3 linked regions of the Arabidopsis thaliana genome follow. The protein of the gene in region 3 interacts with the protein of the main gene of each other region in a pairwise test. Each region holds a gene or a part of one and is shown on either strand. Other genes may lie near its edges.

The links.
Region 1: the proteins of AT4G30410 (region 3) and BNQ2 interact in a two-hybrid assay, tested with the Arabidopsis thaliana proteins (one large-scale study listed by BioGRID).
Region 2: the proteins of AT4G30410 (region 3) and PRE1 interact in a two-hybrid assay, tested with the Arabidopsis thaliana proteins (one large-scale study listed by BioGRID).

What each region holds. Positions count from the first base shown.
Region 1 is NC_003076.8:4,920,465-4,924,938, forward strand, and holds BNQ2 (BANQUO 2), read right to left. Parts: upstream 2,349-4,474; 5' UTR 2,090-2,348; coding exon 1,961-2,089; intron 1,179-1,960; coding exon 1,023-1,178; 3' UTR 779-1,022; downstream 1-778.
Region 2 is NC_003076.8:15,955,457-15,959,337, reverse strand, and holds PRE1 (basic helix-loop-helix (bHLH) DNA-binding family protein), read right to left. Parts: upstream 1,971-3,881; 5' UTR 1,650-1,970; coding exon 1,524-1,649; intron 1,188-1,523; coding exon 1,035-1,187; 3' UTR 779-1,034; downstream 1-778. UniProt on the Arabidopsis thaliana protein: Atypical and probable non DNA-binding bHLH transcription factor that integrates multiple signaling pathways to regulate cell elongation and plant development.
Region 3 is NC_003075.7:14,869,988-14,874,230, reverse strand, and holds AT4G30410 (sequence-specific DNA binding transcription factor), read left to right. Parts: upstream 1-1,963; 5' UTR 1,964-2,379; coding exon 2,380-2,922; 3' UTR 2,923-3,247; downstream 3,248-4,243. UniProt on the Arabidopsis thaliana protein: Functions redundandly with IBH1/BHLH158 in a regulation node known as the incoherent feed-forward loop (FFL).

The sequences.
Region 1 (4,474 bases), on a different chromosome or scaffold from region 3:
CAAACTCCTTTTTAGAATGTGATTTAATTTATGGTGAACTTTGTACTAATTATATATACTTCTTTTTTTTGTTGCCAAAAATCGTGTTACTTTATTGTGTCCTTCTTGCAACATTAATAAGCAAGATTCGTGTGATATATCAGCCGAAGAGTTTTCTAAAAACTGCTCACTCATCTTACTTTTCATCGCGGGGTTCATACATTTTGACTGTAAATACTTACACTAACTAGATTGTATGATACGCATGTTTAAACTTCATATACCTGTTTTCTAAACCTTCAAATATTTTAGGGAATTTTATACAGATATATATATATATATATATGTAAAATTATTGTAGGTAATTAAATACTAAATTTTATAGCAAACTAGTGTAAATGTTATCTTTATTATCAAATATAATGCACGATGGGTCTGTTTTCAAAAACATTTGTTGGATTTTTTATTTTTTTTAATATGTGAGAAGCTAATAAATATAGATTTTGTTTCATTCTGTAGTTTGTAATTTGTAACAATGTATAGTGGTATAATGGTTGAGATATTATTTTTTATGTGAGTCTGGTAGGTTTGAGTCATCCTATTACGTTTTCATGCAAAATTGATAATCATGTACGCTTTAAATGATAGTATTAATCAACTTTTCTATCTATTTCGAAGATAAGTCTAAATTAACTTTGAAATTAATTAACCTCTTGGGTGCCATATATACTTATATAGTATATCCATTTGTATAACGCATTAACACACATACAAATGGACACACTTACAATATAATATAAAAGGATTTAAATTAAATAATTACTCGAAATCTTATTTATTATAATTTTTAAGCTTAATGGAATTGCATGCATGACGTTAAACCAAAAAAGGGTCAAAATATGAACCCTAACTAGATAGGATTGTAAATAATATATAAGAAACATAAAATAGATATATAATTATGCAACACCCTGATGGATCAACCTCCCAACGAGATTTTAAGCTTATATATATAAAGCACAACTAATCAATTTATATCTTAATTATCCATTAATCAAGCTCCTAATAACTGCGGCTTGTGGGCTATTAGGATCAATGGATTCCAGAAGCTGAGTCAATCGATCACTGAGGTCATCGGCTTCCTTGTTCAAGTTTCTTATGTAGTTGCAAGTCTCTTGTAACACTTTCGACGCTGATACCTACAAACAATTTTCACAATTGTACATTTTATAGTAAGGATTCAATATAAATATTCAAACAAGTCTTAGCTTGCTTTAACAACAACAGAAACAAGTCTTAGCTTGAAGTTATGATGCGTGTTAATAATGTAAGAAAATATATTGACGCTAGTTGCTTGACATACTACACTATGCATAGGTTAAAAGTTAAACCTAAAGCTTAAGATAAAATGCCCATACTTTATCAAAAAAATAAAAATGCTCATAACTTAACCAACACATTGTTTTGAAATTGAGAACAAATCTGATTGGTTGTGTGTACTATAAGAAAACGATGCTTCCATTTATAGAAACCAGCTTTTTCTTATTTTTCTAGAGTTCGTACTTTTCTTGTTATATAGAAACTAAGAAAACCAAATATAAAAATTAGTCGGTGCTGTACATAAATGTATTGAATTGATGGTCCGTGAAGCAATATAGTCGTCTCACATTCAATGTAGTTAATCAATAATAAAAGTAAAATTAACTAGAAGCTTAATGCTGAAGTTAGGGAAAATATGTTCCCCTCTCCTCAAAGTCCGGTTAATGGTCAAAAGTAATTTTAGAAACTTCAAAATGCAGTCTCCCACACGTACTTCTATGACTATAATGCACTATTCTAACATGTTGTATACTTGTATATGCGTGATTCTCTATTAAACATAATAGCTAACCCTAAATAAATATCATCAAAGTAAAACTTATGTGACTATGCCAAAACCTTGGTACATAGAAGAAACACAGTAACTTTTGAAAAGATTTACCGTGTTGGAACGACGGTTCTGGCGAATCTCCGGAATGGACTGTCGGAGCTTTGAGATGAGATCAGTGATCTGGTCATCGCTAATTCTTGATGATGAGCTTGCTTGTCTCGACCTTCTGCTAGAAGACATGTTTGATTTGAAAAAATATTCTTATATATATGTGAATCCAAGAAAAGGCTTTCTTCTCTTGATGGCTTTGTTTGTGCTTGTCGAAAGAAAGGGAGAAGAAAGAAGGAGAAGAAATGGTGTTATATAGAGAGCTAGGACCACTTCTAGATAGAGAGAGAGAGAGAGAGCGAGAGTAATACAAATAATCTTAAATAGGGGTGTTGGATATGCCGATGACAAGTGCACAAGAGAGAACAGTGGTTTAGAATTGGAGTCTTGGATACATGACACGTGAATTTACAAATTTATCAGATCGTGATGTATATATGTGTCTAATATTACTATTATTTGATGATTAATTTAAAGTTGATTTATAAAAAACTAGAGAAAAAGATACATAAGACAAAAAAAAAGTCTGTCTAACTTTTATCTATTTACTTTAAAAAAAGACAGCATATTTATCAACAATAAATACACCGAAGATAGATATATATCTTCTATTTTCTTATATTCAGAAAAAAAAAAACCATCTTCTTCTCTTTTGAAAATTACATTAATCCAAAGTCTCCAACAAAATCTTGCTTTTCCTAAAAAGTTTCAAAAACTTTAGTAGAACTTAGTATCTATTACTGGAAATCTTTTTGCAATAATTTGTATTATGTACATTTAAAATCTTCTTATTATATTATTATATGAGTATTATAAGTATTGTCGATATTATAATGCTATTATATTTTTAATATTGTAGTATTTCAATGATGTAAATCTTTTCAAAGATTTATTTTTTGTTAATTAGTAACATTATAATATCTGTTATTTTTCGTCAATTAGGAATTCGCAAATGAATATCTAGATTGACAGAAAATACCAAACAATACTTTCACTTGGATACATTGATAATTTATCTCAAAACTTATAATTATTCTAGTCATTAAAATCTTTATATATATTGAGGTGAGACTTTGTGATAATCAGCTATAGTAGTTACAGTTCCTTAATAGCATGTCCTAGCTTTGCTTGAGCCTTGAGGTACGGTGAGAGTTTGTGAGAATGTATCATTATTTTTTAAGACCAAACGACAACTATCCAAAAGCTCGACTAATATGTCTTGTTAGATATGCTATGATCAAAGAGAAACTAATTTTTCAAGTGGGAAACGATTCTGATTTCAAGTACTGAAACAATGCAACATTAAAATATCACCACTCTATTTATCTTATTATACAAGCTAGTGTAAAGCTTGTCTATATACTCAAGATATACCTATATGAGTATATCATTATTTTATGATCGTTGTGATGCGTAAAACCAAGAAGATTTTGTGGTTCAGTTATATAGATACGGGTAAACAAAAACAATGGACTTAGGTCAATTTGAGGGAACGTACGGTATCTATCCTAGCCAATAGGGAGGGGCTAGTCTTACACTTTTAGTCCAAGCTCGATCACGTGTACCTCAATTGATAGTGTATATGCTTACGATATTTATTTATATGTAATGCCTAAGTGGAATTTCATCAATTGTCGAACCCAATATCTTTGAGCACTTGTTCTAAAAAACTTAGACAGGTGATTTCCAACTAACATTCGTCAATATGTAATTTTGTACAAATACTTTAATTTTAATTGTATCAGTGAGTTTCAATTTTTATTTAGGATTTATATAAATACTACATGGTAATGTTGTTTTGGTCATAAATAACAACAAACCATTTGCTAGATCTAAACACGTGATGATGATGATGAAGATGATGATATATGCAAAAGATATGAATGAATGATGATTAGTAGATGTATGATATGTATTAGAAAACAAGGAGATGGTGTGATAAATTGGACATTAAAGAAAAATGTTTGCTGATGAGCACACAAAGGTGGGACTATTTATGTTTTAATATTTTGAAGTTATAAATAAGAACCAGTTTAACCTCCCATGTGATGATAGGACACTCTTTCCCCCCTCTAATCAGGGAGCATCCCCATCCTTCACGCCCTCTCCCACATGACCTCTCGCTTTTCTTATCTCCATCGTTTTACTACGGTAGTGAGATAACAATTTTCAAAGAAAAATGTTTTTATAGTTAGAACATTTGCAAAAACCAGTGAGTTTAATTTATATCATAATTGTTCATACTAGTGTCGTCGATGTACCAGTACCACCGTTCAAAATTGATACATTAGAATGCATCTTTCAATAGGTGAAATATGTGGAACTAATTACCCATAATCCACAACTCTGCAGACAAATTTTATTTTTTTATTTTTTTTTTAAAACAAAATTTTATCCAAAGTCTATATAGTCAAACTAAATGATGCATGCATGTAAGAAATATCATATAACAAATAAGACAAAATAAAATTTAATACACAAGGACATAGTCAATCGACCCATTTTATCTATTTGTTT
Region 2 (3,881 bases), on a different chromosome or scaffold from region 3:
TATCTCAAAATTTTACAATAATAATTCAAAAAGGGTACAAGACCTGAAAATTGTATCTATGTAACAAGAAAAAAAAATTAAGATCGTTTTAGGTGGAAGAGTGTAACAAAGCTAGTCTCTGAATGCTCTCCTTTTTCATGTAATTCTTCTTGTGATTATTTTTATAGCTATATGGCTTAAAATTAGGAGTCGGATTTGACCAGTCTCCTAAACCCTGAAAGGACCAAACCGGTATAGCTATATGGCTTAAAATTAGGAGTGATAGATTTGACCAGTCTCCTACGCCTTGAAAGGACCAAACTTGTCTAAATGTATGTACATGGGTGCATGTATATCAATATGCGTATACGTGTGTTTAAACTTTAAACTACATGCATGTAGAATTATGAGATATCAAATAAAACTATAACGTTGATTTTTATTTAATTTCTTTGTGTGGACGTCCTAAAAGGCAAAACTTTCCTTTAGATGTGTATAAACGTTTTTGTGACAGTTAAGATGGGGTTTCTTTTCCCCTCCAAAATGGCTAAGAGTTTATTTGATTTTGTCTTCTATTTCTATTTTTGCTTTTTATCTCTATTTTGAGGTTTAGATGATTTGTTACCTCAAAAACAATGTGCCAAATAACTTTTTTTATTCCGTATAAAATTAAATGCTCGCAACTAACAATGTCCTCTCGCAATTTTACTGTCCTTGACTGACACAATCGAGTTCAGACATCACAATCTCTGTTTTTTTTTTCTTTGTTAGGGAGAAAAAAAGAAAGATTCTTCTCCACCAAATTTCATCCCACTGGTTTATTTTAATAATGCACCTGCTAAGGCAATGCTCGTGCAGTTCTGCTACACACATATATGTCGGAGACTTTTGACTATGGAATTAACCCTATGAAATTCGTATGTCATTAAAGATCAAGCCCATCTCTTTGAATTTTACATAATAAGACGATTATGTTAAAAATATAATTATTATAGAGCGATCATTTAAGATTACATGGATAGGCTTGTCAAAAACAAACAAAAGAACAAAAAAGATTACATGAGTAGGCTTCTAATAACGGCGGCTTCAGGGCTATCTTCATCGACAGATTCGAGAAGCTGAGACAAACGCTCGCTCAGATTGTCAACTTCTCTGTTCAAATTTCGTATGTAATTGCATGTCTCTTGCAATACTTTCGAGGCTGATGCCTTCAACAACAAAAACGAAATAAAATCATAATCATTATAATATATGTTTTTTGAACCAATGCATGCGCTTTTATGCGTTTGCAGATGCATGCAAGCTGATGATTTTGATGTAATCTCTTATGTAAATATGGAAGAAAAAGGTTGTGAATATTGGTATATATGTTCCTTAATGTCCGGAGTCAAAAGTTCCGACTTCTTTTTTCTTTCTTGTTTGATTTTAGTGTCCACTCTTCTTTTTACAAAACTTTTGTTCTTTCCTTTTTTGGATAGGTTTACACGATGGATAATGTTAAATGGTCGTTATAAATGAATATATGCATATATTATGCGTGATACCTTATCAGAACGACGTCGTTGACCAATCTCCGGCAAAATTTGACGGAGCTTAGATACGAGGTCAATCATTTGATTATCGGAGATCCTTGGAGCACTTGAAGATTGCCTTGATCTTCTGTTCGACATGTTCAACAATGTGGCAAGAAAAGACCCTAACTAAGTTGTGGATTCTTCTCTCTTTCTTTACTTCTCTCACACTAGCTCAAACAAGTTCTATTGAGAAATAGAAATAGAGATATAATGAGATCGGCTATGTCTATGTGGCAAGTAGGTGTAAGCTTTTATGATTTTATAAGGTTTTTATGCTGAAAGGAAACGACCAAGAAGAAAGAAAAACTAGAGAGCAAGAAGAAAATAGAGAAGAGAATGAGAAAAGTGTTTTGGGGTTTTGAATACACTTCAAATATAAAGAAATTGAGAATGTGATAAGAGAGATTTAAATAGGCCAATGGACCACAAGAGAGAGAGAGCGACGGAGAGCAGCAATAAACCTCGACAATGATGTCACGGGAGAAGAAAGCGATAGATTGAATGCCCTTAAACCACAAAACTTCGAAATCATTTTTTATTACAGATTTCCAAGCCGTATATATACATATCATCAGTCGAGACTATTACCAATCATTATACGAAGGTAATGGCGGGATTGAATTATTTCACAACGTTTTCAATCATGGTTAGTTAGTTATTGTGTATAGTTCAAATGATACACAAGTTTCAAGATTCGTAACTTTTTAGGATTTTGTGGAAAATAAGTCTTGAAATCGTCCATTTCTACTTTCAGAAAATATAGAATAATTTTACAAAGTGAAAAATACTACGCAATATAACATTTTTTGCTATTGTCAGATTTCGTCAAGTTTTAAAAAAATTGAGAAGTATTATATCAAATCGAAGCCCTCGAGACAAAGAGTTCAACTCTTCTTTAATTTAGATTTTTTAAAATGTATGTGATCGTGAATACGTTTACAATATATGTATAAGGAATATATTGCGTATTATTTTTGTTTTTTTATGATTATTCTGCATATTTTAGAAGTAGAGGGTAAAATTACAAAAATAGATTTCTCTTAGGATTTGTTTTACCAAAACCCCAACTTTTTATGCCTCAACTATCCAAAAAAAAAGAAAATGATTATGACTAGAATGGATCACAAATATACATATGCTTAGTTATTGAAAATTTTACAGTATAATTCCTATAGAGTGGATAAATAAATGGGTACTAAATTTTTTGAATAATTGGAGGAGATTTGAATAGTTAAATGGAGGAAACGAAAAGTTCCCAAAGATGGGGTTGATGAAGGTCAAGATAAGTGTTTCATGTTCATCTAACATTGTGGCCCTTCATCTGCAATTTCACAAAAAGGCAACTACCATGTGATGACATGACTTTTCATTCAATTTTTTTTCTTCTAATATTAGAACTAGTATTATCGCCTAAATTGTCTCTCTAAATTTGTATTCCACAATATCTAGGTACAGTTTGTATATTTATCTGTAAATCTTGTATATTACCAAACTATATATTTTAAACTTGTATAAAATATATAGTTCCAAACTTGTATAAAAAAGCATAGAGAGAATTATGTAAATTCTATCTTCCATACTAACTACATTTGTTTTAGAAAGGAAGAAGCCTAATTATTGACTCCTATGGAACATTGTTTTCTAACTGCTAAGCCATAAATAGTTTCACCTCATATGTAAAATATTTCGTGTGATAACTTTTAAAAAATTATAGAATGTCAATGTAACTTAAAAATAGTAGATATAAAACAAATATTTTCTATAAAAGGATTATTGTTGATTTTGCCGTTTTCATCAAAATCTTTTGAAAAAGTCATTTTTACTAAAATTTTACGAAATTGTCATTTTAGTACTTATAAATGTACGTATTTACGATATTATTTTTACAAAAATAAGTATTTTATATTAAATGCTAAACTTAAAAAACAAAAAAAAAACTCGACTAAACCTTAATATAACGAATAAAAGCTATGCTAAATTTCATTTTTTAGACTGAAAAAGAGCAAAATCCACAAATTATTTAAAAAATGACAAAATCCATAAATATCATTCAAAAAATGGTAAATCCATAATTAATTCTTTTATAAAACGTGAAAAGGAAACCAAATGCTTAAAAGAAACGTATCTATCGGCTTTAAAACTTCGTTCAGACCATTTATTTCAAACTTCTTCGCACACTTACACTTTGCCTAAAATAATTTATTTAAAGAATTTTTTTATTTTGAAGTGAATAAAATCGCATGTCTCATATAACTTAATTTAATTGTTCGATTGGTCCATTATTGGTTGAGTATTAATTTATATAAATGTTCACAAAACATCGACTAT
Region 3 (4,243 bases):
TTTTGCATCAATGGACTCTCACTATTGCATCTTGTGAACTCGTCTGTTTTATTCCCCATGATGAGTGATGAAACCATCAGCCACGCCACCAATGATCTCAAACATTATTTTTATATTATAGTTACATCTGTCAACACTCAACAGTAACATCAATGTATTGTTCTGCAATGTCATCTCACATATCTTTTGCAAATTCAAAAAGTACGAGATATCTCTCTGTAGATCAAGACCATTTGGTGTTCTTTGATTCAAGACACTAGAAACAATTTGATTGTACTATAAATCCTCAATTTTTGGAAGTTTATCAACTGTTAGGACAATCGACCTGTCAGTAAATCTGAATTTCTTATATGATAGTAAATGATTTTAAAACATATCACAGCCGTCAATCAGAGAGACTGTGAGAGTCACCGTTGAAAATCACTCTTTGGTGAGTGAAAAAATGTAAAAGTAAAAGAACCAATGGGTAAGGGTCCCTCCACGTGTGCACATGCGCTTCGGTGGACGCGTGCATGCAAGAGTGTTGCCACATTAACGACGTCGTAGAATGTGATTAAGGGCACAAAACATTTTAATCAAAGAAAATTTGACTGATGGTGACGACAATGAGATGGTGGGCGTGTAGAGTTCGGAGAATGATTGTTGAGATTCCCGTAAATTACGGAGGTCCATTGGAAAACAAATCCCCGCACCAGAAGATCCATGTTCGATGTATTTTGTTGGAGAAAAAAAGCTAATTTTAATATCAAAAATATTTCTCTTTCGATAGTTGTATATATTTATCGAACATCAACTTTTATATTCATGTACATCTATCAATATCATTTTTTCGTTTTCTGAATTAAATTGACCAATATAAATGAATTATTATTGTTTCTTTTTCCTTTTTATCAACAATTATTATTGTTTCTTTTTTTCTTTTTCAAAACCAGGCTTTCCCAAAGTTTGCGGATCGCCACGTTTTAACCACTAACACCATATTGATGTTATTTGTTGTATGTGTATAAAAAAAGTTATGGCACAGTTAATGTGTTGACCATGCTTTTCATATTTGATACCTAGTTGTGAATGTATCACTGTGAAGCATCAAAAAGAAGATGAAATAATGCACCGTATAACCAAGGTGTGCACTGTGCAATGCAATGCATCATAAATTTCTCAAATTCTGTTTTTTGTATGTAAATTATTGACGTATAATGGTAAATATGATTAATAGATTCACTCATTGTTCGACAATAATCAAACTGAATATTGCTCGATAATAACTGAACATATTACATTAACAAATTACGCACTCACAATCGTCAGAACCAGCCATTATTCTCAGCTATACATTCTATATCATTTGTTATCTTTTTATAACCTTAGGTGATTTAGGTGATCCAGGTCACGGTAAGTATATATAGATTATAAACTTTTATGGAAGACTGATGACTCAATCTACAACATTGGAGAACCACAACTTTTTAATCTATACTTTACGTTCTTTAACATTTAAATTTCAAAACTGAGATGGACTTTTTTAGTTATTATATATGTTCTAACTAAGTAATGACACCAATTCAAAGATAATCTAGATTATTTAGCGTGCTTATATAGGCCTTTATTTGCTTGGCGACAGCGCTGACTGATAAGGTTGTCAGATAGAGAATTACATGTTAAATCAAATATGTGAACATACATTACATACATATATATACGAGTGATGAGATCATTATATATCACGGATTCACGGAGTGTGAAAAAAAAAACCAAATGAAGCTACGCAGTTGACAGAAAACAAACGAAAGATACACAAAAAATGTTTTTTTTTTCATAAAATCCTCATAATTGCAAAACTTAAAACATCAAAACGTATATATATCATCACAAATTTTCGGCGGAAACAAATAATAATGGACAAAAGTTTCCTAAATTATAGGGTAATACAAAAGGGTACGTGGGCCATTCGTAGCATGTGCATGCATGTGCTTCTCCTATCTCCTATTGCCCCCACCATTTTCCCTCTCCTTTTGAAACAATTAAAATGGACCCTTTCCTTCTCCTTTCTCTCTCCCTTACCTCTCTGTCTCTTTCCCTCTCTCTCGTCGAATTCACGAATTCGTGAGGTGACCGCAGATTTGTTCTTAGCAATCTTTGACGACACTAGAAGTAAACAAATTCTTAAAAAGGTATGTGTTCATGTCTCTTCTGGTTATAATAAGGAACCCTAAACGGGGAAAAAATCCAGTTTGGTTATGATTTGATGTATATTAGTATATTACATACATGTATCCCTTTGATGTATAAAGACATCATGGTTTATTACTTAGGATTAACTTACTTTTTCTTGAAAAATGACTCATAATTGAGTATATTTCTACTTGATTAGGATTTAGGATGCAGCCTACGAGCTCAATGAATGAAGAATTCCTAAAGAAATGGCAAATGGGTCTTCAAATATTCCGTCCTTCGATAGACAACACGAGCGTCCACGAGAGAAAAAAAGCAATAAAGCTCTCTGCAGACGTTGCAATGGCGTCTCTAAGAAAAGGAACAACTTGTTGGAGCCGAGCCCTAATCGAGAAAACCGCCACCGAGGACAATTTCCTCGTACGTCAGATGCTTTCCGGCATCAAAGCGGAAACGTTAATCAACAAGAAGTTGCCTAAGAAGACTGTGTGTCATAGGAAGATCGTGAGGCGAAGCAAGAAGATCTTGAGGAGGAAATCGAAATCAGCGAGCGAAGAGGCTGCAGCAAAAGCTAAGAGACTCGTCAAGAGACGGACTCAAGGATTAAGAAACGTTGTACCTGGTGGTGAGTTGATGAGCAATGACGTCTTGTTGCTTCAAGAAACGTTAGATTACATTGTGTCGCTTCAAACGCAAGTAAATGTTATGAGAAGTATTGTTGATGCTGCCGAGGCCGAAATTGAGAGATAAATGATAAAAAAAAATCTTGTTTTATTTTTTTATCTGCGGAGATTAGTTGCGAAAGCATGATGTCGATCGGATCTTGTTGTTGGTCATTAGAACCGTATGTTATTCGGACAATGCAATTGTCATACGAGGATGGAGAGATATTATAGTAAGCCATTTTGTACATAAGGAAATTTATACAATGCTTATAGAAAGTTTCTGCTACGTGATGGTGGTTTTTATTGGAACATTTCTTGGCAAATTTTTATTTTTTTTGAATTTAATTTAGTTAATGTGAGTGAATTTTAAGATATTTTTAACGCTTCGATTGCTTTTCTTGGCATGTTTTTATTTGAGAGAAAAAAATAGACAAATGTTATTTTATATTATAGATATCTGGTTCAGTTTTATTACAACTCACTCGTATTGGATAGCTCATTTGACATGTCAACCCAAAACAAATGATATATACTAGCTCATGTGAGTTTTTTTTCTGTTTTTTTTTTTCAGATTTTCAATGTTAATTAGCTCATATGAGTTGTCCAATATATATTTGACTCTTTGCTTATGTTTTTTTTTGGGTTAAAGACTTGGTTTGAAAGGATAGTACTAGTCTACTAGAACAAAACAACCAATAAGACAGCACGTGTAAAAATCAGTCTTTTTCGTATATACTCCATGTTTCATCAATCAGCATCATTTAGTATTCAGCTAAGGAAGAAGACGCTTAATGGCAACGAGGAAAAAAAAAACGTACATATTCACGTTCATTTTTTTCCTAGCTAAATTAATTAACACCGTTCAAAGATATATTATTTTGTCTCATGAAAGCTATGCCTCCCACCGATGGTATTTATCCATTTATATGTGCATCTATGTACATATGATTAATGATTCTCACTTCTCAGTTAGATCTGCATTCATTTTTGTTTGAACAAATTCTTATTAAAAAAAAAATCTTATTTGCCACGTACTTTATATGTTAGATCATGTAACAAAGGGGTATTTTCGATTTTTTCTGTATGTGGTCTAAACTGCAAGTTCTATTGACAACAACCCCAATGGTTTTTCTGTAACAGCTAACTTGCCAACATTTTCTTTGGAGATTATTAGAAGGAAAAAAACGAAAAAAAAATACCAATATAATATTACACATTTTGAGAAACTTGTTTATGTTCTGTTAGGCCCAGCCCAGTTTGTTATTAATTGGACTCGTAAATGGTTTGTTTAATAACAGTTGGACTCTTGTTAACCAGTCAAATGTCCACACAAACTAAAGGGAAAGAACTCAAGAAGTGAATGAAAGAGAGACAACACGGCGTTGCCCTTTATTTTATCTTAAAAC